Elephas maximus indicus: one gene and its partners. The protein of the gene in region 3 binds, or shares a complex with, the protein of the main gene of each other region. Links are inferred from orthologs where the notes say so. Each region holds a gene or a part of one and is shown on either strand. Other genes may lie near its edges.

Region 1 (7,222 bases), on a different chromosome or scaffold from region 3:
CCCTACAGGACACAGTAGAACTATCCTATGGGGTTTCCAAGGAGTGGCTAGTGGATTTGAACTGCTTATCTTTTGGTTAGCAGCCAAGCTCTTAACCACTCCATTTTGTTCATGATTAAGGTAAAGTGACTCCATCCCAAGGAATTGAGCCTGATTAAGCCAATCAAAGCACTACATTCTGCTACTGGTTCCGGAACAGACACCTGACCTAAATTGGTCCAATCAGACTGAACAGTTACCAGTTGCCATGGGGTTGATTCCCTCTGACCCACGGAGACTCCATGTGTAAGGACGGGCATAATCCAAGCTTAGGGAAGTTTTCTTTTTCTAATGAATAAGAAAGCATGTATGCTATGGTCGGTCATTCTGCCACCGTGAGGGGAACCAATTTTACTGTGGAAAGCCAAGAAAAGAGACTGAGTCCTTGATGACACTGTTGACCCATTATAATGAACCTGGAGTCAACCTTTCCTCTGGACTTTGTGAGATCATTTTATTATTTTAAGTGGTCAGATTTTCCATTATTAGCAGCTCCCTCCCTTGATTTTCTAAACATCACTTTCTTCTGCTCCTACTTCTACTTCTCAAAAGTTGCCACTCCATTTCTGGTCTCCCCTCTTCCTCTGCCTACTCCTTGCATTTTGGTGTTCAAGGTTTGTTGTGATCTTTTCTACTCACACTATATGTTCACTTGGAACAATTACAGTTCACTGCATGTCTCCCTTGACAAAGCAGAACTGAGCCACTCGCACCTCCCCCGATGGAGTACCACTGTTGATGATGTTCTCCAGCTCATCTACCTGAAGAACTCCTACTTGTCTTTCGAAACTAAATTTAAATGTCTCCTCTGTGACACTCTCCCTGAAGACTCCAAGGGTTCCTTGCTTTTTTTGTGCCATGAACATCTCTGGCAGTCTGTTGGGCCCTATAGACCCCTTCTAATGCTTCTAATTGCATAAAATACCAATTATATTGAAATACTTATAAAAATACTCTTAAAACCTAAATGTCTGATATAGTGTATGTGCTTCTTTATTAGCTCTTTAAATACACAGATCTAGCAGTGGGTCTTGCAACTACTGTGATTTTGAAGTAGTGATGAGAATAAATGATATGTTGAGACCTGCAACAACTGTAATGGGCATTGGTACTGTGACTTCTACTGGTGATAGGTACTGCTAGAACTACTGTGGTTTGCTGCTGTAGTAGCTTATAGATTAATGGTCCCCAATGAATCACATCTCCTGGTAACCATGCCCTTTTGTACTCTCCCCACACTGACTCTTAGCTTGGCCATGTGACTTGCTGTGACACCAGCAAATGTGATGCAAGCAAAGGCTTTTTAAGTGTTTGCACACTGGGACTTGTCCTCTTGGAGCCCAGCAACCATGCGAGGAAGCCCAAGCTAGACATATGGAGGGGCGCCAAGTATCCAGACATGTGTGAGGCCACCTTTCAGTCCAGTCACCACTAAATTCAGCCATTGGGGGACACTAGCAGAACTGCCCAACCAACCCACAGCCAGTGCTTCCAGCAAGTTCTGCCTGGTTCAGTCATGGCCAACTAAGCAAAACCTGAATGAACCCCAAGTTTTAAAATGTAGGTGAAACGGAACGATAAGCAGAATGGGAAAAATTACTGGTCATAGCCCTGCTAGAAACTTAATCCCCCTCTTAGAAAACAAGGGCAGCAAGCACATTGCATAACCACCAAATCTCTTGACCACATAATTTGGAAACAGCCATGTGGCTCAAACACGGAGGCCAACTGCACCACTTTGAATGTGTGTGGCTCTCCATAGTCCTGGCAATAATCCAATCTCCTGCATCAGGCTCCTGTAAGGGCTCACTATGTCTATTTCAAGTCTCCCATTCCAGGGCTTCGACCCGTAATTTCTCTCATTCTGCCTCACCCAAGTTTGACTGCACCAGTTCAAAGCCCTACCCACAGCTCATGCAAAATAAGATAACGCTGATAATAAATTAGTACAATTTTTAGGTTTCATTGGTACTTTCTTATGAGTACTACTTGATGGCTCAATTTTGTAGGTTTTTGGTAGCCTTCGATTTGTTTTCCATGACAAAAAAAATCACCTACTTTTTTTAACGTAGCTTTGTTAAAATGCAGGTTTTCGCAACAAAGTTTTCACTGTAAAAGTCAGTTTTTTGCAAACGACACCAGTCCATAAAATGTAAAGGGAATCGACTTGTCTATATTAAGTTCATCGGGGAGCAGAGCAAAACTCCAGCTTTCCTCCTTACACAGCTACTCCCACTTCAGCCTCCCCCACACCCTGTAGCACCTTCTCGGAAGGTGACCCTCCCAACCCCACACACACCTGGTTCTGAAACCGGACCCAGCCTGGCAACCAAAACCAACCTCTGCAGTGCGCGGTGCTGGCCTCGACCTAGCCACGCTTCTAAGCGGGCGCCAGCCAGAGGAAGGGGTTGGATACTTTAACTTTTCAAAAATGTTTTATTCACCACAGCACAACCCAAATGGCCGCCCCCACCCAACCCAGGATTTCGCCAGCCTCGGTCCCAGCGCAGGACGCCCCACGCGCGCCACAGATGCGGCGGCACGCTCGAGCTTCCGCCGGCAATCGCTTGCCCCACGCGGACCGGTGAATGAACCGCGGGCCAGGACACAACCAGCCCGGAGGCGGGAAAAGCCTCTGGGCGAGCAGAGTCTGGTCCCGAAGAGGCCCACAAGAGCGCCGGGGAGAGTTCCGTGCGACCGGGAGGGGGCGGTGACAGCTTTGCCCGGGCTCCGCGCTCTCACCTTGAACATGTCGCTGGCAGCCGCGGCTCCGGCGGGGTCACCCCGGCCTCGGCCCCGCCCACTGCAGAGAGGAGGCTACGGCGGCCCGGTAGGGCCCGGCTTCCGCCGACCGCGAATGGACTGCGGTGCAGGCGACGGCTGTGCCGCTGACTCGATCCGATCCAGCGAAGGCTTAGCTAACCACTCGGGGCTGGAAGCAACGTAGCTGAGCTGCAGCTAGTCACGGCCCACCTGCTAGCGCACACAAGCCCCGCCCCCTCGAGGCTCCGCCCCTGCGCCGGCTGTTGCTAGGCAACGAGAAAGCGCGGCTTTGTGTGGCAGGAACGCGGGGGCGCGCGGAGGGAGGTGCCGGGCGTCGGCCTGCTCGGCCGCAGCGGTTGGGAACCGCGAGGTGTGGACCGGGCAGCCTGTGCTCGGAGGCCGCCGGGCGGGGGCGCTCGGCGGGTCTCTGGAAGCTTCGAAAGCTTCGCAGCCGGAAGCCGCCATCCTCAGAGGACTGGATTTACCTCACAAAGGTTTTCAGGTTTTTACAGTGGGGTTCACATTTCTAAGGTTTTAAGTTTAAACGAATTTGCCACTCCCTTTAGTCGTGAAAGGCATTTTTTTTTTTCTTTTTAAGATGCTTAAGTGTAAGCTCCTCACTAGGAATCATGTGTATCCCTTACTACTAGTAGAGATAAAGGTCATAATTATCTTATTAACAAGAATAGCAAACATAGTGTGCCCAGCTCTGAGCTATAAGCCTTTGACATATGCTTATTTAATCTTTCCAACAACCCAAGTAGGTGGGCACGATTATTATTCCCAATTTATAGCTGAGGAAACAGGCATAGAGAAGAAACTTGCGTAAGGCCACAGGGATGAAAAGTAGGAAGCCAAGATCCAAACAACCCAGTGAGTCTGGCTTTAAAGCTTGTGCTCTAGCTTTTGGGCTAGCCTAAAGAATTGTTATACTGTTTCATAATTGGGGTGTAGTTCACATTTCACTCTGTAGTTCACATTCTAATCCTGTAAAAACTGAGCCCCATCTAGGCGGGCATTCCTTAGATTTGGGCGGTGTGCAGTGACATGTAACTGCCCTGCAGCCAAAGACCACTAGGAATATACCTGTGGTTGAACAAGTTGGGTTTATTTTCTCATAACTGTGACGGAGGACACACACCTTGGGGAACAGTGGAACATCCCAGTAAGAGGGTGTTAGATTTGTTATAGGATTTGGGCTTTGGTTGGGTGATTTGGGGGTGAGTTTAAAGAAGCAGACTTTGCTCTGGATTGGATGCTATCAGGATGTGGGGGTAACACTGAGGCCCGGCCAGGACAGCTTTCAGATGTTAAGGGCTGCTTTTTTCTTTCTCAGGAGAATTGTATATTCCAGGCCATCCTCATCCCTAAGGAGAAATACTGAACAGATGAAGGCTCTGCACTGGTAATGTAATCTTACACAAATATAAGAGTGTAAGGCATAACAATAACTTAGTGCAACAGTTCTTAATTCAGGGGTTATGTGACTTTGGATGGAGAAAAAATTACAACTTTACCCTCACTAACCTCTAACTGAACTTTAGCGTTTCTTTCAGTTATTGTGTAGATGAAAAGGCACAGTAGTATTAGCAGTACCTATCACTTTTGTCATCAATAGAAAACAGATATTTTCATATCACATTACACTCATGGCAGATATCTTGAGATGCCATTTATGCTCATTACTGCTTTGAAAGTACAGTAGTTATTAGATATCCCATTTTATTTAATGCATATGCAGAAGGCACATTAATGTATCATAATTTTGTTTTTCAAAATATTTCGACAATGATTTCAGTATAACTGAAGTCCTTTGTAATCCTATGTATTTTATTTATGCATCAAAAAACAATTCTTAGAGGGTGTCTATCCATAGAGATTCATGGCACCAAATAAAAAGATAAAAAGCCCCTGGTTTAACAGAACGGATTAAGCAGTTACTAAGAATTTGGGACCTGCATCCAAATTGGATTAACGCTTCAAAGGCTGGAAGGTTGGATGTGGAATCAGATAATTTAGTACACACATCAATTTACCAAGGAGAGAACTGAGCCACTGAGAAGTTAAATAACTTGCTCCAAGTCTCACAGCTATTTGGTGATAAAACATTTTCAGACAAGCATGTAAAAATCTACTCTGCTAAAAAAAAAATTTTTTTAGGTACTGCATATTTCATAGTAAGATGCCTCCTACCCTCAATGAGCTTGTTGGAGTGACAGCCAAGAAAACAAATTTTAATGCAATATGAGAAGTACTATAAAAGAAGTATGTACAGAATATAATGGGACCTTGGAGAAAGGAGTAAGTAGTTCCGTAAAAAAAAGAGAAAGGGGAAATTTCAGGGAAGAGGCATCAATTAGCTGGGGTCTTAAAGGATGAATTAGTATTTGCTGGTGGTAGGAAGGTCATTGTCAGTAGAGGAAATGGCATGATCAGAGGTACAGAGATGTAAAACATTGACCGATTTTGGCAAGAAGTTCTTGGTTCTTTCAGAGTGTAGAAAGGAAGGCTGGTGAAAGGTGTTTTAAAATTGAGAGAATGGAGCAAAACTGAAAAGACTTGAACCCATTCTAAGGAGTTTGGGCTTCATCTTGGAGGAAATGAGGTGTCACTGAAACATTTCAAGTTGAGAAGTGATAAGGTTGAATTACTGCTCTAAAAAATTAATTGCAGCTGCAGTGTTGAGGATGACTAGGAGGAGGAAGAGACTGGAGACAGGGAGACCAGTTGCAAAGCTACTGATAAATCCACTTGTCTTTTCCATATAACCAAAAAAAAAAAACCAAACCCACATACTATTTTAGTACACAAAGAATGTGAACTATAAGCAATATTAAGAGATCCATGATTTGTTCCTTTTTAAAGGGTTCTGGAATTAGGACAACAATAATATGGCACTTGAGTCTAGTTCAGACAATGTAATAATATAGATTATGACCTTAAAGGATTAATTTATGTACTTTCAGGTTACTTCATTGTAAGGGAAATGGATTCTTCCTCAGATCCACCAGGTACTAGTGTTCCAAAATCAGATAACCAATGCTCAGAAAAGGGCCAGAAAACAACCGTGGAAATTCTAAGGAAAATGAGTTCTTCTTCGGATCCACCAGGTACTAGTGTTCCAAAATCGGATAACCAAGAGTCAGAAAACGACCAGAAAACTGTGGAAATTCTAAGGAAAATGAGTTGTTCTTCGCATCCACCAGGTACTAGTGTTCCAAAATCAGATAACCAAGAGTCAGAAAACAACCAGAAAACTGTGGAAATTCTAAGGAAAATGAGTTCTTCTTCAGATCCACCAGGTACTAGTGTTCTAAAATCAGAAAACCAACATTCAGAAAGAGGCCAGAAAAAAACTGTGAAACATCTAAGGAAAATGAGTTCTTTCTCAGGTCCACCAGGTGCTAGTGTTCCAAAATCAGATAACCAACACTCAGAAAGAGGCCAGAAAACAACTGTGAAACATCTAAGGAAAATTAGTTCTTCCTCAGGTCCACCAGGTACTAGTGTTCCAAAATCAGATAACCAACACTCGGAAGAAGGACAGAAAAAAACTGTGGAAATGCTAAGGAAAATGAGTTCTTCCTCAGATTCACCAGGTACTGATGTTCCAAAATCAGATAACCGACACTCAGAAAAAGATCAGGAAACAGCTGTGGAAATTGTAAGGAAAATGAGTTCTTCCTCAGATCAGCAAGGTACCAGTGTTCCAAAGTCAGATAACCAACACTCAGAAAAAGAGCAGAAAACAACTGTGGAAATTCTAAGGAAAATGAGTTCTTCTTCAGATCAACCGGGTACTAGTGTTACAAAATCAGATAAGCAATACTCAGAGAGAAGCCAGAAAACAACTGTGAAACATCTAAGGAAAATGAGTTCTTCCTCAGGTCCACCAGGTACTAGTGTTCCAAAATCAGAAAACCAACACTCAGAAAAAGACCAGGAAACAACTGTGAAAAATCTAAGGGAAATGAGTTCTTCAGACCCACCAGGTACTGATGTTCCAAAATCAGATAACCAATACTCAGAAAGAGGCCAGAAAACAACTGTGAAACATCTAAGGAAAATGAGTTCTTCCTCAGGTCCACCAGGTACTAGTGTTCCAAAATCAGATAACCAATACTCAGAAAGAGGCCAGAAAACAACTGTGAAATATCTAAGGAAAATGAGTTCTTCCTCAGGTCCACCAGGTACTAGTGTTCCAAAATCAGAAAACCAACACTCAGAAAAAGACCAGGAAACAACTGTGAAAAATCTAAGGAAAATGAGTTCTTCAGACCCACCAGGTACTGATGTTCCAAAATCAGATAACCAACACTCAGAAAAAGACCAGGAAACAACTGTGGAAATTCTAAGGAAAATAAGTTCCTCAGATTCACCAGGAACTAGTGTTTCAAAATTAGATAACCAACACTCAGGA
Region 2 (7,534 bases), on a different chromosome or scaffold from region 3:
GGGCTCCCACAAATCTCACAAGCAGGTTGCATTCTCCAGATACACTGAACAACGAAACACAATCAAAAGTGATTTGTCCACTTGAGACTATGTTGGCATCTCCTGCCTGGAGGGGAGATGAGAGGATGGAGGGGGTTAGAAGCTGGCGAAACGGACATGAAAAGAGAGAGTGGAGGGAGAGAGCGGGCTGTCTCATTAGGGGGAGAGTAATTGGGAGTGTGTAGCAAGGTGTATATGGGTTTTTGTGTGAGAGACTGACTTGATTTGTAAACTTTCACTTAAAGCACAATAAAATTTAAAACAAAAGTGATTTGTCCAGGGCCACACAGCTACTGAGAAGCAGAGTTAGGATCCAAACCAGGTCTGCCTGGCTCCAAAGCACATGCTGCCTCCCCAACACTACACAACACTTCCAAAGAGTCTTTGAACTTTAGATACTGAAGGAATCCTATCATCTTCTTACCTCAATTAATTAACATAAGTGATGGTATTCCCCCTAGGGATAAAGAAAGAATCAGAGAAGTGATTTGTCCATGGCCAAAAGGCTAGAAAATTAAACTGAAGTTTGTTTAACTCCAAATTCATGCTCTTTTTACCATGACCTCCAAGATATCAGAATGGACTCTGAGTACTCAACAATTCAATAGCTTGCCATTGTAGAGAAAACAGCAATGGGCTGAGTATGGCTACAAGAAACTTAGAGCACAACTAGACTCATAGTCAAAACAAGAAAAGATGAGAGGTCCTCAGAGGCATACATTTAGCAGATGAGAAAGCTGAGGCTCAGAGAGATTTCAAGTCACCCTTGAAAAAGGATTTGAAGGAACAGGGCATAGTCCAAGGGCATTCCAGGTGAAGGGTATATTCTGAAGGAAAGCACGGCGATCAAAACGAGTATGGCATGTGCTTGAATTTTTTCAATGCAGATAAGATATAATGTATGAGAATGAAAACAATAAAGAATGCAGGAATGCTTCTGTCAATTTTAGTGTCCAAGGGACACAGTTTATTTAAAAAAAAAAAAAGGTTTTTTAAACAATCTTTCCATTTTAATCTATCACCTAGCCCTACTGTCATATTTATCCTATTCAGCCTTGTGCATCTAACATTTCATATGAATGTCTGCACTGTGGCCAAATTGTCTTTCGGTTTTGTTTGCGACCACCACTATCTGAACTAAAGCATGAGAATGCAGATTTACAGATTTGTCTACTCATTGTCTTCTTACCCAAAATTTACTGTATTTTTTCTTACTTCTACTCTCTGGTGTGGAACACCAAAGGCCTAAAAGCAAGATTAAACAAACCTCTGCTTAAAACTCAAGGTTTACAGTAATTTTTATTTGACTCCGAAGAGTACCAACTAAACCACAATAACGCAAAGAATGCAGCCTCGGATTATTTTATTACAAAATGTGGTACTACCGTTAATAAGGCAGGCTGGCCACAGGCCAAAAATAGAGTTCAACAGTCTTGAGTTTCTAAAAAGAAAACTTTAATAAATGTTTTCCAGGTAACAGTTTCAGAGTAGAAAGTTTTTAAACACTTTAAATATTTATGAGGCTTTATTTCCTAGTAACAAATGCTAAAAACAATTTACACATTTAATTTACTTATACTGGCTGTGCAATAACAGATGAAGAAGCATATAAAATATTATAAAACTTCCTGAAGTCAAGACTGCTTTATTTACTAGGTTCAGGCATCATACTTCCAAAAATGTGAGGCTCCAAAGTCAGGTGCAGCGAAGAGTGTTTATCAAGTTAGTGCTGGCATACTGACAGACACCCTGGAGAAAAATCAAGTTTTCAGTTTATGTATCAAGCACGTGCAGAAGGCATAAAAATTAAGAAAAACTTCCCTACAATATCTTGATCTAGAACTGGGAATACGACGTCTACCAAAAAAAAAAAAAAAAAAACCAAACCCGTTGCCACTGAACCGATTCCAACTCATAGTGACTCTACAGGACAGAGTAGAACTGCCCCATAGGGTTTCCAAGGAGTGCCTGGTGGATTTGAAATGCCAACCTTTTGGTTAGCAGCTGTAGCTCTTCTCACTACCCACCAGGGTTTCCATATGACTTCTAGTGGTCTGAAAAACTGCAAATCTCAACCTCTAGCCAATGAATCAGGCTGGCAGGCATTAGTCCTGAAGCACCGGGCCTAATTCAAGACTCAAGCAGGGCAGGTCACAGAGAAGGCGCCTGGGAAAGACAGATATCAAGTGAAAGTCAAGAAGGCAGAAGTCACCAGAGGACAGCCAGAAAAGTGTGGGGGTGTGGGGGTGTATGTTGGAGGGAGGGGGTTGTATCAGAGGGAGAACACTAGATGACAAAGCACAAATAAAGAGGCTCCTTAAAATGCCAATTTGCCCTGAGAGGGGTGATGTGGCAACAGAAAAGCAGAGTTTGGGTCCTGAAACCAGGAGGCATAAGAAAAGACCCGTTTCACAAATAAGTACAGTCAGAGGTTGCAAATAAAGTCCCGCAACTAGTGAGAAGTACAGTCAAGACGAGGCTGCGCGCCCCTGGAGGGTCCCATTCAACCTGGCAGCCCACCCGCCCCAGCACAGTGCCTAGCACTTGTACACAAGCAGAAACTACTTTCCCAGTGGAGGTCCCAAGTTGTGAAACTCCGGCCTTCTCCCCGGGCAACACTGAAGGCTGGGACGCTGGACAAGGGCTGCGGGTCCCGAGAGCACAGGCTTCGGGGTCTGAGTCCGAGTGCTTGCGCTCTGCCCGCCCCGCTCACTCACCCGGATGCCCTTCACCACCGTGATGTTCTCATTCTCGTCCGCCTCGAAGGTGACCCGGCGGGTGCTAGCCGTCCCGCCCATGGCTCCCGCGTCTGCTCGCGCAGCGACCTAGCGAGGACTCACAAGCACTGCAGGCACCACGCTCACATACGCGCGTGGAGGTGCCCGCACACTTCCCGTGCACAGCAGGAGCAAGGCCACGACCCCAAAGAGCAAGGAGAAGGCGCCGGTCCTGAGTCCCCGCCCCCTCCGGTCACGTGCCACAGCAAACCTGCCTCCGGTTGGTCAGAACTGAGAAAGGCCCGTCTCCACAAGGCGCGGGCATCCGGGTTGGTCGGTCCGGACCCGGATGCTATGGCAACAGGTAGTGTTTAACAAGGCTTCCGGAACCCCTGAGTATAGTGGGAATTGTAGTTTCGGTCTAGTGAGGTGAGTGGTGGAGCGTCCTCAGCTTCGTCCCAAGAGCGCAAAGGGAACATGGCATTCTGGGAGTTGTAGTCTTGACGGCAGGAAAGGCTTGTAACTGGCAGCTTTCAATGAAGTTTTCCTACCCTAAAAAAAAAAAAAAAAAATTTCTATTTTTTTTTAACGAACATGCTTTGAAGGCGTGCTGTATGCCAGACATTATTCTAGAAACTTAGGCTTGTGAGTTAAAGACACAACTCTGTCCCAAAGGAACTCACGGTTTAATGTGGGAGATGCACTCTCCTAATGGAGCCCTGCCTAGATTCCTATTTTAAAAACTCCCTGAGGCAAAACTTAGCAGTTCTTTATTTTAGTCTTAGTTATGAAAAAAAATTTTTTTGAACTGTATTTGGCCTATGGGCTTATCGCATGAACTATGTACTTCTTTTACATCTTATTATAAATAAAAGAAATTAAAACATTATGGCTTTCAAATCTGCGTATGAGAAAACAGAAAAATAAGTTGTTTGCACCAAGCACCCCGAGCATTTATTTCCCACATTTGTGTCTCCTTCACTTGGAAGTCAGTGGGTCACACACGATGTGGCAGTCCTCTTATGCCGAAGGCACCCACAGCAATGCGGTAACGTTTTTGAGCTTCAATTGTATGCTTATCTATTACTATAAGAATCTTTACAGCAGAAAGTACCTCTTTTTTATCTCTGTACCCCAGGCCGGAGCCCTGGTGGTCCAGTGGTTAAGCACTAGGCTGCTGAGTGAAAGGCAGGTGGTCCTAACACACCAGCGGCTTCACAGGAGAAGCATGTGGCAGTCTGCTTCTGTAAATATTACAGCGTTGGAAACCCTATAGGGGAGTTCTTCTCTGCGTTATAGGGTTGCTATGAGTTGAATGGACTCGACAGCCATGGGTATCTCTGGTCAGTAGCAGAGTGTTGAATTGATTACACCTCATCATTTTGTTTGTCTCTTCATATATGTATCCAAATCGTACGATGTTACATTGCAGTTTGAGACTACATGTTACTTTGTACTTACTCTCAAATTGTATAGTACCTTTAAACTTTACTTCTACAGGGAACCAAAAGCCCCGGGAATTATGTCTTTCATTCCTTTGGAATCTCCCTCTCCACAAACAAACCCTCACTTATTACCCCAATGCGTAGCACCGACGGGATGCAGTAACTACTTACAAAGAAAGCATTTCTTGGAGAGAGTAGAGAGGGATGAAGGAACTGCTAGTTACCTTGGAGATATTTATCTTCTTAGAATTTAAATGAGCTCTTTCAACCAAATATACTAAAGATAATGAAGGTTAAGCCTCAGAAGATGGTGGTGTGATGCTTTCACTGTTTAGAGAACAGAAGCAAGTCAGTTATCCTGTCGGGAAACCTAAAAATATTTAGAATTCCTACTCCATTTCAACTAACATCATCACAAAGAAGCCTTCTGAATAAAAATTTTAAAAAAGATACACCTTACTCCTGGAAAAATGCCTACTATGATAATATTTCTCCACCTGTCTGTCAGTTTCTTGTACTGTGGGTAGTGTGTTGCTGTGATGCTGGAAGCTATGCCACTGGCATTCAAATACCAGCAGGGTTACCAGTGGCAGACAGGCTTCGGCTGAGCTTCCAGACTAAGAAAAGACTAGGAAGAAGGATCCAGCAGTCTGAAAAGAATTAGCCAGTGAAAACCTTAAGTGTTTTCCATCGCCTCATACGCATGAGAAAGCTGGACGATGAGTAAGGAAGACCAAAGAAGCATTGATTCTTTTGAATTGTGGTGTTGGCGAAGAATATTGGATATATCATGGACTGCCAAAAGAGCAAACAAATCTATCTTGGAAGAAGTACAATCAGAATGCTGCTTAGAAGCAAGGATAGCGAGACTACGTCTCACGTACTTTGGGCATGTTATCAGGAGGAATCAGTCCCTGGAGAAGGGCATCATGCTTGGTAAAGTAGAGGGTCAGCAAAAAGAGGAAGACCCTCAAAGAGATGGACTGACACAGTGGCTGCAACAATGGGCTCAAGCAAAACAATGATTGTGAACATGTTGCGGGACTCGGCAGTCTTTCATTCTGTAGTACATACGGCTGCTATCAGTCAGGGCCAATTCAATGGCACCTAACAGCAACAACAAAAAACCGTGAGAGAATAAATTTCTGTTTGTTAAAGCCATCCACTTGTGGTATTTCTGTTATAGCATCTCTAGATAAATAAGACACATGGGATGATGAGGTGTCAGAGAAGAGAGCGGTCCTGGTCTCCAGCTAGTAAAGCTAATCAGTGTGTTCATCATAGCCCTCTTCCCAGCTCTTGTGAGTAGCATTTCAGCTGGATGATAGAGCACTCATACTCTGGCCTTTGCTGAAATAGAATATAGTTGTAATGATCATATTTTCTGAACTAAAGATTGGAGCATATGTTCTCACTATTATTTGTGTACTTAGAGAGACAATTGAACCAGTCCTTGAAATCAGGTCATCCTTGAAAATCTAGGACATATAGTTGCCATAGTTATTAAAAAAAAAAAAAAAAGTTATAGCAAACCAATTAAAATCACCGAAAAGTACTTCATGTGTAGTGTGGACAATCGATACAAAGATATTCTGAGAATATGGATGCAGGCTTATTCCACAACCCATAACTGAATATCAGCCTTCAAACTTTTTACACCAATTATTGTACAGAGAATCAGAGAAAAGCAGTGCAGCCCCAAAGCAGCGGTTCTCAATTTGTGTGTGTGTGTGCACAGGTATGTGCTTGTGTGACATTTTCTGAGAAGAAGAATTTTGGGCAGCACACTTGAGGAGATGCAAAGATTCAAAATAGCATGAACCAGTCAGCAAACAAGACAATCACAGCTACACTATAACAGTAACCCTCCACCTTGAGGGCACAAATCACATGGTCTCCCACACTCCATCACTGTTGGAGTAGAGCTGATCACTATGCTGCCTGTGCATCTAAGAACAGCATGAGGTCAAGTTTTCCCACGTCTTAGGAACCTCTCCTTCTGCACCACTGCCCTAGGGCTGCTGTAACAAAGTACCACAAAGTGGGTGGCTTATAAGAACGGAATATATAGTCTTGCCAGTCTGGAGGCTAGATGTCTGAAACCAGGATATCCGCCATGTTGATTCCTTCTGTGGGAGAATCCATTACATGCCTCTGTCCTAGCTTCTGTGACAGCCAGTTGTCCCTAGCATTCTTTGGCTTACAGCTCTGCCTTCTACAATCTCTGCCTCCGCTGGCACATGGTTGCCTTTCCTGGTCTCTCTCCCCAGTGCTGGCTTATCATCCCATGTCACGTTCTTTCTGTTTGTACTCCTTCTTCTCATCTACTCGTCCTACACTCTCCCCCAGTGTATCAGGGACAGCCAAGTGGTGTGTCTCTTCTTTTATATGGCCGTCACTCAGACTGAATCAGGACCCAAAGTATTTATGAGCACATGCCAACTGGTAACATCTTCAAAGACCTTATTTCCAAGCAAGGTCAGTTTCACTCATACAAGGGTTAAGACTTCAACATATTCTTTTTTTTTTTTTTTTGCGGGGGATGGGGGGACACAATTCAATTCCTAACACCATCTATCTTTGGCTCCTGCTTATCTTTTCCAAGAGTGCTCACGTTGTATATGTTGTGCCATGTCATAGGGTGGGCTGCGACGACCGTTCTGCTTGACAAAGATCACTTAGCACTATATGTTGTTGTTGTTGTTAGGGGCCAAGTCAGTTCCGACTCATATTGACCCTATGCACAACAGAATGAAACACTGCTCAGTCATGTGCCATCCTCGCATTTGTTGCTATGCTTGAACCCATTGTTACAGCAACTATGTCAATCCATCTCATCCAGGGTCTTCCTCTTTTTTGCTGATCCTGTACTTTACCAAGCATGATGTCCTTCTCCAGAGACTGATCCCTCCTGACAACATGTCCAAAGTATGTGAGACATAGTCTCGCCCATCCTTGCTTCTAAGGGACATTCTGGTTGTACTTCTTCCAAGACAGATTTCTTCTTTCTTTTGGCAGTCCATGGTATATTCAATACTCTTCACCAACACCACAATTCAAAAGCATCAGTTCTTCTCGGTCTTCCTTATTCACTATCCAGCTTTCGCATGCATACAAGGCAATTGAAAACACATAAGGTTTTCACTGGCTAATTCTTTTCAGAAGTGGACTGCCGGGTCCTTCTTCCTAGTCTGTCTTAGTCTGGAAGTTCAGCTGAAGCCTGTCCACCACTGGTGACCCTGCTGGTATTTGAATACCAGTGGCATAGCTTCCAGCATCACAGCAACACACAGGACCCCACAGTACAACAAACTGACAGACACATGGGGGAAT
Region 3 (7,593 bases):
CACAAGGACCTTCCTTCAGAGCCGACAGTCAGAGAAAGCCTTCCCCTGGAGCTGGCGCCCTGAATTCGGCTTCTAGGTTACTGGACTGTGAGAGAATAAATTTCTCTTTGTTAAAGCCAACCGCTTGTGGTATTTCTGTTATAGCAACACTAGATGATTAAGACAATGGGTCTTAATGAATGGGGAGGATTTTAACAAGTGTGAGGTCATTCTAGGGAGTTAAGAATAGACCTCAAGTGGGAAGAGAGGGAGCGACGATACAGAATTTATTTAGAGCAGAGGTTCTCAAACTTTTTGGTCTCAGAACCCCTTTACACTCTTCAAAATTATTGAGGACTCCAAAGAGCTTTTAATTATATGGATTATATCTACTGGTATTTACTGTATTAGATATTAAAATGGAGAAACAATGAAAATGCTCATTCTATTAATTTCCTATTGCTGCTATAACAAATCACCACAAATTTATCATCTTACAGTTCCGTAGGCAGGAGTGCAAACAGGCTTTCGCTGGGCTAAAATCACGGTGTTTGAAGGGCTGTGTTCCTTCTGGAGGTTCTAGGGTTGCTGTGAGTCAGAATCAACTTGATGGCAATGGGTTTTTTTGTTTGTTTGTTTTTAGGGGAGATCTCTTTCCTTGCCTTTTCCAGCTTGCAGAGACGGCTTGCACTCCCTGGCTCATGGTCTCCTTCCATCTTCAAAGCTGGCAATCACATCACTCTGACTTCTGCTTCCGCCATCACATCTCCTGCCTACTTCTTTCTCTCACAAGGACCCTTGTGATTACACTGGGCACAAGAGATAATTCAGGATAGTCCCTCAAGATCCTTACTTAATCATATCTGCAAAGTCCCTTTTGTCATACAAGGTAACACGTTCACAGGTTTCAGGGGCTAGGGCATGGGGATCTTTGTTGTTGTTAGTACCCATTGAGTCAACTCTGACCCATGGCAACCTCATGTATGACAGAATGAAACATTGCCCGGTCCTTCCCCACCTTCATGATTGTATGCTTGGGCTCATCTTCCAGCAGTGTATTAGACAATACTGTGTTGCGATCCATAAAGTTTTCTTTGGTGAATTTGCGGAAGTAGATCACCAGGCCTTTCTTCCTAGTCTTAGCCTGGCAGCTCCACTGAAATCTGTCCACCTTGGGTGACCCTGCTAGTGTTTGAAATATCAGTGGCATAGCTTCCAGCATCAAAACAGCATGCAAACCACCTCAGTACAACAAACTGATGGATGGTTGCTGGGACGTCTTTGGGGGGCCATTATTCTCCCTAGCGTGTGTACTCATTTTAAAATAACAATTATGAACTCATTACATGTTAACATGCTTTTATGAAAAATAACTATTTCAAAATAATAATTAATGGGAAGAGTGGTGTGAGGGTTAAGGCTGTGTGTCAACTTGGCTGGGCCATGAATCTCAGTGGTTTGGCAGTTAGGATGTAGTTTGGTAGCTATGTAATGATGTAATCACCTCCATGATGAGATCTGCTATAAGCAGCCAATCACTTGAAAGGGTGTTTCCTTGGGGGTGTGGCCTGCAGCCAATATATGTGGACTTCTCCGGCAAAGCTCTTGCTCGCTCTGGATCCTGCATCTGGCTTGTCATCATCTGACCTCCGGTTCTTGGGACTTGAGCTAGCAGCTTACCTGCCGATCTTCGGATTGTCAGCCCCTGCAGCTATGTCAGTGGAAACCTCCAGCCTGACCCACAGACTTGAGACTTTCCAGCCTCAACAACCGTGTGAGCCATTTCTGATATAAATCTCTCTCTCTCTCTATGTATATATATAAAACCAAAATAAATAAATAAACCCCTTGCCATCGAGTCAATTCTGACTTACAGCAACTCTACAGGAAAGTAGAACTAAGCCACAGGGTTTATAGGAATGACTGGTGAATTTGAACTGCCTACCTTTTGGTTTGCAGCTGTTAACTCTTAATCACTGTACCACCAGGGCCTATATATATGCTTCACTGGTTTTGCTTCTCTAGAGAGCCCAGCATAAGACAAGTGGCATTATTTTACCTTTTGCAAATCTCTTTAACGTCTAACTTAATAGAATACTAGATTATAAAATTTGATTCTACATTCAATGTGTTACAGTATCATATCATGTTGTTGTTAGTTGCCATCGAGTTGGCCCTGACTCATGGTGATCCAATGGATAACAGAAGGAAATGCTGCTGGGTCCTGTGCCATTCCCATGGTCGATTACGGACTGGATAACGTTCCATAGTGATCCACAGTTTTTACTGGCTGATTTTCAGCAGTAGATTCCCAGGCCTTTCTTCCTAGTCCATCTTAGTCTGGAAGCTCTGCTGAAACTTGTCCAGCATCATAGCAACACACAAACTTCCAGTGATAGATGGATGGTCTCTGGAAAAACTTTACTGTACACTAATGAGTTAATGAGAATTAAAAAGGCAAATAATTTATTATTGTGAAAACAGTTTTGATTTTGTGGATCTCCATGAAAAGGCCACAGGCTTCCCAGGGGGTCCCTAGCTCCCTTAGAGCCACTAAGATGGTTGGACTTCAGTTTATCTGGGATATAGGGTGTGTAAGTGGGTGACAGGTTTTGAATACAATTGCTGCCACCTTAATCTCCCAACTATAGCAGCTACTGTGAGTCCAAAGACATCTACATATGCTGGAAAAGTATATTGAGACTGTTTTGGACTGAACTGTGTCCCCCCAAAATATGTGTCAACTTGGCTAGACTATGATTCCCAGTATTGTGTTATTGTCCATCATTTTGTCATATGATGTGATTTTCCTATGTGTTGTAAATCCTATCTCTGTGATGTTAATGATGTGGGATTAGTGGCAGTTATGTTAATGAGGCAAGACTCAAGCTACAAGATTAGGTTGTATCTTAAATCAATCTCTTTTGAGATAGAAAAGAGAGAAGAAAGCAGAGAGACATGGGGACGTCATAACACCAAGAAACAAGAGCCAGGAGAGCAGCATGTCCTTTGGACCTGGGGTCCCTGCGGTAAGAGGCTCCTCGACTGGGGAAGGCTGATGATAGGGACCTTCCCCAGAGCTGACAGCGAGAAAAAGCCTTCCCCTGGAGCTGGCACCCTGAATTCGGACTTCTTGCTTCCCAAACTGTGAGAAAATAAATTTCTCTTTGTTAAAGCCATCCACTTGTGGTATTTCTGTTACAGCAGCACTAGATGACGACGACAGGCATTGCATAAAGGCTCACTGAAAGTTTCTGAACTAAGGAGTGATGTGATTTGAACCTCTGAGTTACTTTAGGAGAGTCCTGATAACAATACATCTTAAGATCTAGTAAGAAGCATGTCAAGGGTGAAGATTTAGGACTTAGGTGAAAGATTAGGAAACTACGCACAGAAATTAATTTCGGGGTTTGAGATAGTGAAGCCAGAGAGGCTGCTAATGATATCCAGCCTGAGGTGTTGCTGTGTCATACAGGGCTGGAGTAGAATGAAACTGCTCATTGGCACTGAGTTCAAGGCCAAGGTGTTAGAAAACGCGTCATGCTGGCATCGCCTAGCTTAACAGTGGTAGGCAGGATGGGGATGGGAAGACCGCAATTCAATTGCTGAAGTTGCTAAGGAAAAGAGAGACTGCTTGGAGGCCCTTAGGTGACAGAGATATGAAATAAAGCAAGTCTAATGTAATTACTAATCGACCTTAAAAGCATGGAGAATTTACAGACATAATTATTTTAGGTAATTTTCAAATCCATTTCTCCATTTTACAAGTGGGAGTAGTAGTGCCATCTATTCCTAGGGAGAACCCTATACTGTGATAAATGATCTCGTTAGACATTGAAAACGCTTTGCAAACACAATAGAAGATATACAAGCTATTCAATAGATATACAAGTTATTCAGTTTCTAGCATATTCTCATGGTAATAAAGATCACTAACAGTATTTGCATAACGGTGGCTATTTACCATGTATACGATTACAGACTCTGTGGGACTCTGTACAAGTTTCTGCAGACTTCTAACTCAGCCCACAGGCTGCAGCCAAAATTATCTAAAATAAAAACTTCATGAAGAAAACCGTGGTTTAGTCTGAAGGAGTAGAAGCCGCGGCCGTGCAGCCCAAAGAATCTGGGTTCCTATCTAGTGGTTAAGACCTATGGCTGCTAACCAAAAGGTCGGCAGTTTGAATCCACGAGGCGCTCCTTGGAAACTCTATGGGGGAGTTCTACTCTGTCCTACAGGGTCACGACGAGTCGCAATTGACTCGAGGGCAATGGGTGTGGTTTTGGGGGGTTACGCCTGCTCCGCCAGCGGTCACGTACGTGAACGACACATTCAGCACAACGCTGCCTCCGGTGTTCCTTCTCCCACCAGGAGCCCGAGCACGACCCGGAAGAAGTCGCCCCTTCCACCGCCTTCTCAGCAATCGTTTCCGACTCGCAAGGCCCTCTACTGCCTGAGTACCGCAGCCGGCTACTATCCCAGCGGGCGCGCTCTCCCAGAGCATCCTGGGCGGGGGCGTGGGAGGTGGGAGGGAGTGGGAAGGGCGGGGAAAAGGCTGCGCGTGCGCAGTGGAGTTCGCTGCTCTTCCTGTGATCCCGGCGCGGAGGAGCGACCCGGACGCAAACACGCACGCCCGCCCGCACGCACGCACGCACGCCCTCCCTCCCTTACTCGCGCCGCCGCGGCAGCTCCCGCCTACGCCCTTATTGCCGTCCGCCCGGCCGCCGAGATGCTGCGGGCCTGTCAGTTATCGGGCGTGACCGCTGCCGCCCAGGTGAGCGCGGGAGTGGGTGCCCCGCGAGAGCGCGTGAGGAAGCTGACTTGGGCAGACGGCAGAAAACGGGGGCGGCTTAGGCCTTGCGTAGGCCCCGGGACAAAGGCATATGTCAGAGTCGCCCTCATTATGAGAGTTCCGGGCGGACCCGTGAGGCAGTTAAGTGGGGTAGTTCGTCGGGCTGGGATGACTGAGGGTTATTGGTGAAGCGGGGTGAGGTGTGGAGGGAAGGTGGCGGGGAGGCGGGCGCAGGGAGGGGGGCGCGGCTTCGGGGACGTGTTATCCAATCAGCACCGATCTGCCCCAGTCAGGGACCAATCCTGGCTGCTGGCGCCCGGGTCGCCGGTTGGGCACGTGAAAGCGGTGGGTTCGCGCAGCCAGTGGTTGAAGGTCGAAGTGGGGAGAACTAGAGCTCCCGGCAGGACGTTCGTATCCTAGGCTTGTTGTCTGTAACAAGGAGGTGCCTGGACAGCTGGGATAAAGAGTATGTGGTTTGGGGGTGTGGTGTCAAGGTTGTAATGATCTGGAGGGACAGCTTTGCTTTTTTTTCCGTAGCAGAGAACACATCAGAGCTATTGTTACTGTAGACAAAACTGAAAGATTCTAGTTTATGAAGCTCAAACTTCTGGTGCTTGAGAGAGAACAGGAGTCATGACCTTGTGCCCATTTCTGAGGTTAGCCTGGGGATCTGTGTCCCCAGGTGCTGGTACGACTTTGGCTGACATTAGAGGAGCCTGGACACCTAAACCTCTTTTAGTTCTGCGTAATTATCAAAGTAGCATTCCAAATTAAAAATAAAAAAAAGGTAAGCCTATTTCCATTGCTCACAGTTTCAGAAAATTTATATTTTGGTTAAGTGTTACATTGCGAAACAGGTACTTGTGACTCTGGCATTAATTGAACAAATTCTCCAGGCATAGTGAATAAGATCATAAAAATAAAACTTCTTATTTTCAAGTTTGCTTCTCTATCCATTCGTTGCTGGGGGGATGAATGAGAAGCAGCAGCCTGATCTGTAGGAAAGCAGGGACTGTTAGTTTCTATTATTGCATTAAAAACTAAAACAAATTGGCAACTTAAAACAACTCTTAAGTATTATCTTACTGTTACTATAGGTTAAAAGTTGGCATGAATGAGCTGGTTCTCTGCTCAGGGTCACACAGGCTGCAGTCAAAGTGGTGACTGTGCTTGGTTCTCATTTGGAGCTCAGAGTCCTCTTCCAGGCTCATGTGCTTCGTTGGCTGAATTCAGTTCCTTGCAGCTGTAGAACTGAAGTTCCTTTTTTCTTGCTAACTGTCGCCACTGTGCTCGGGTCTTAGAGACTGCCTGGAGTTCCTTGCCATGAGGCCCCCACGGGAGGTACATAACGTGGATGTTTCCTTTCTTCTAGGCCAACAGGCGCTTGTCTTTCTGACTTTGAAATCTGTCTTAACTTTCCAGTCTCTGACCTCTAGACCCAAATTTAAAGAGCTTGTGTCAAGGCCCACCTGGTTAAGCTCCGTTTTGGTTAATTCAAAGTCAACTGGTTAGTAACCTGAATTACATCAGCTAAATCTCTCTTGCCCCATAACCCTAGTCATGAAGGTAACAGCAGGGGAATGGAGATTGTGGAGGCCATCATGGAATTCTGCCTACCACAGGACCCAAGTGGGGCTAGAAAGAGTGGAGGAAACAGAGCTGCCTTTCAGGACAGAACTGTTGAAGTTTGTCTTCGGAGCCAGTATGAACCCCCGCAGCAGCTCTGCAGAGGACAGGTCTGGTGATCCGCATCTATAAAAATCACAGCCAGGAAAACCCTGTGGAACAGTTCTACTCCCAACACATGGGATCGCCAGGAGCAGAATTGACTATATGGCAACAGAGCCCTTGTTTTTTTTTGTTTTGTTTTGTTTTTTAGTGACATGCTCTTCCTTATTCTGCCTTCAGGTTACATCAGAATTCTCACTGATTATCTCCTTTGTGTCCCCCCCTAAACTCCAAAATTACATTTTCCATTTCTTTATCAAAATACTTTGATACTTACTGGGATACCATTTAGGAACTACTTTTTCGTACTAAACTATGAACCCTTTTGTAACTCTAAACCAAAACGACTAATCTTCCTGAGATAGCGTCTTGTAAAATTTATTGGTTTATTCTCACCGTCTCCTTAGTCATTGTATATAACATTTCATGTTTTGCTTTGTGAAACTCTTTGCTGTTTTAGCTTCACTCACACAATATTTTGGCTTCCATCTTAACCTTTTGTTTCTCTCCTGTTTCCTTTATTGAGGCTGATGCTTCTTGTCCCTCTAAACGTAACCACGTTGCTTTTCTGTACTCTTTTACCTAGAGTTACATCAATACTCAGAACTTCAATCCCTAAGCACATGACTCTTCAGCCTTCTTTTTTGAGCTTTGTATTCACATTTCTGAATTCTTGTTTGATTTTGTCAATTTTGTCCAAAATATTCCAGTTGTCAAGATCCTTCCCATCAAACCCTTTCTTAAATATCTCCCTGCTTTTCCTGTCATCCTTCTAGAGTCAGTTCTTTATGTATTCCAAAACTAAACCCATTGCCATTGAGTCGATTCCAACTTATAGTGACCATACAGGACAGAGTAGAACTGCCTCATAGAGTTCCCAAGGAGCGGCTGGTGGATTTAAACTGCCAACCTTTTGGTTAGCAGTTGAGCTCTTAACCACTGTGCCACCAGGGCTCCAGTTCTTTATATAGTGGTTATTAAAGCCTTTTTTAAAAGCACGCAGATCATGTCATACCCTTTGGTGACATCCTGTCACACCCACAGGGCTCTTCCTAATTTAGTTCCTTGCATATTTCATTTTCTGTTCTACCTC

What was found. The genes of interacting proteins can lie anywhere in the genome.
Region 1: IMMT (region 3) and APOO share a complex: the UniProt entries of both Homo sapiens proteins name them as parts of the mitochondrial contact site and cristae organizing system (MICOS) complex. The link is inferred for Elephas maximus indicus from reciprocal best matches to the Homo sapiens genes IMMT and APOO.
Region 2: IMMT (region 3) and CHCHD3 share a complex: the UniProt entries of both Homo sapiens proteins name them as parts of the mitochondrial contact site and cristae organizing system (MICOS) complex. The link is inferred for Elephas maximus indicus from reciprocal best matches to the Homo sapiens genes IMMT and CHCHD3.

The regions. Positions count from the first base shown.
Region 1 is NC_064846.1:155,243,848-155,251,069, reverse strand, and holds the start of APOO (MICOS complex subunit MIC26), read right to left. Parts: upstream 3,002-7,222; 5' UTR 2,791-3,001; coding exon 2,782-2,790; intron 1-2,781. Other genes in the region: CXHXorf58 (uncharacterized protein CXorf58 homolog), read left to right, coding at 5,789-7,222. UniProt on the Homo sapiens protein: Component of the MICOS complex, a large protein complex of the mitochondrial inner membrane that plays crucial roles in the maintenance of crista junctions, inner membrane architecture, and formation of contact sites to the outer membrane.
Region 2 is NC_064826.1:16,742,163-16,749,696, reverse strand, and holds the start of CHCHD3 (MICOS complex subunit MIC19), read right to left. Parts: upstream 3,002-7,534; 5' UTR 2,838-3,001; coding exon 2,757-2,837; intron 1-2,756. UniProt on the Homo sapiens protein: Component of the MICOS complex, a large protein complex of the mitochondrial inner membrane that plays crucial roles in the maintenance of crista junctions, inner membrane architecture, and formation of contact sites to the outer membrane.
Region 3 is NC_064835.1:48,315,548-48,323,140, forward strand, and holds the start of IMMT (MICOS complex subunit MIC60), read left to right. Parts: upstream 1-4,590; 5' UTR 4,591-4,709; coding exon 4,710-4,754; intron 4,755-7,593. UniProt on the Homo sapiens protein: Component of the MICOS complex, a large protein complex of the mitochondrial inner membrane that plays crucial roles in the maintenance of crista junctions, inner membrane architecture, and formation of contact sites to the outer membrane.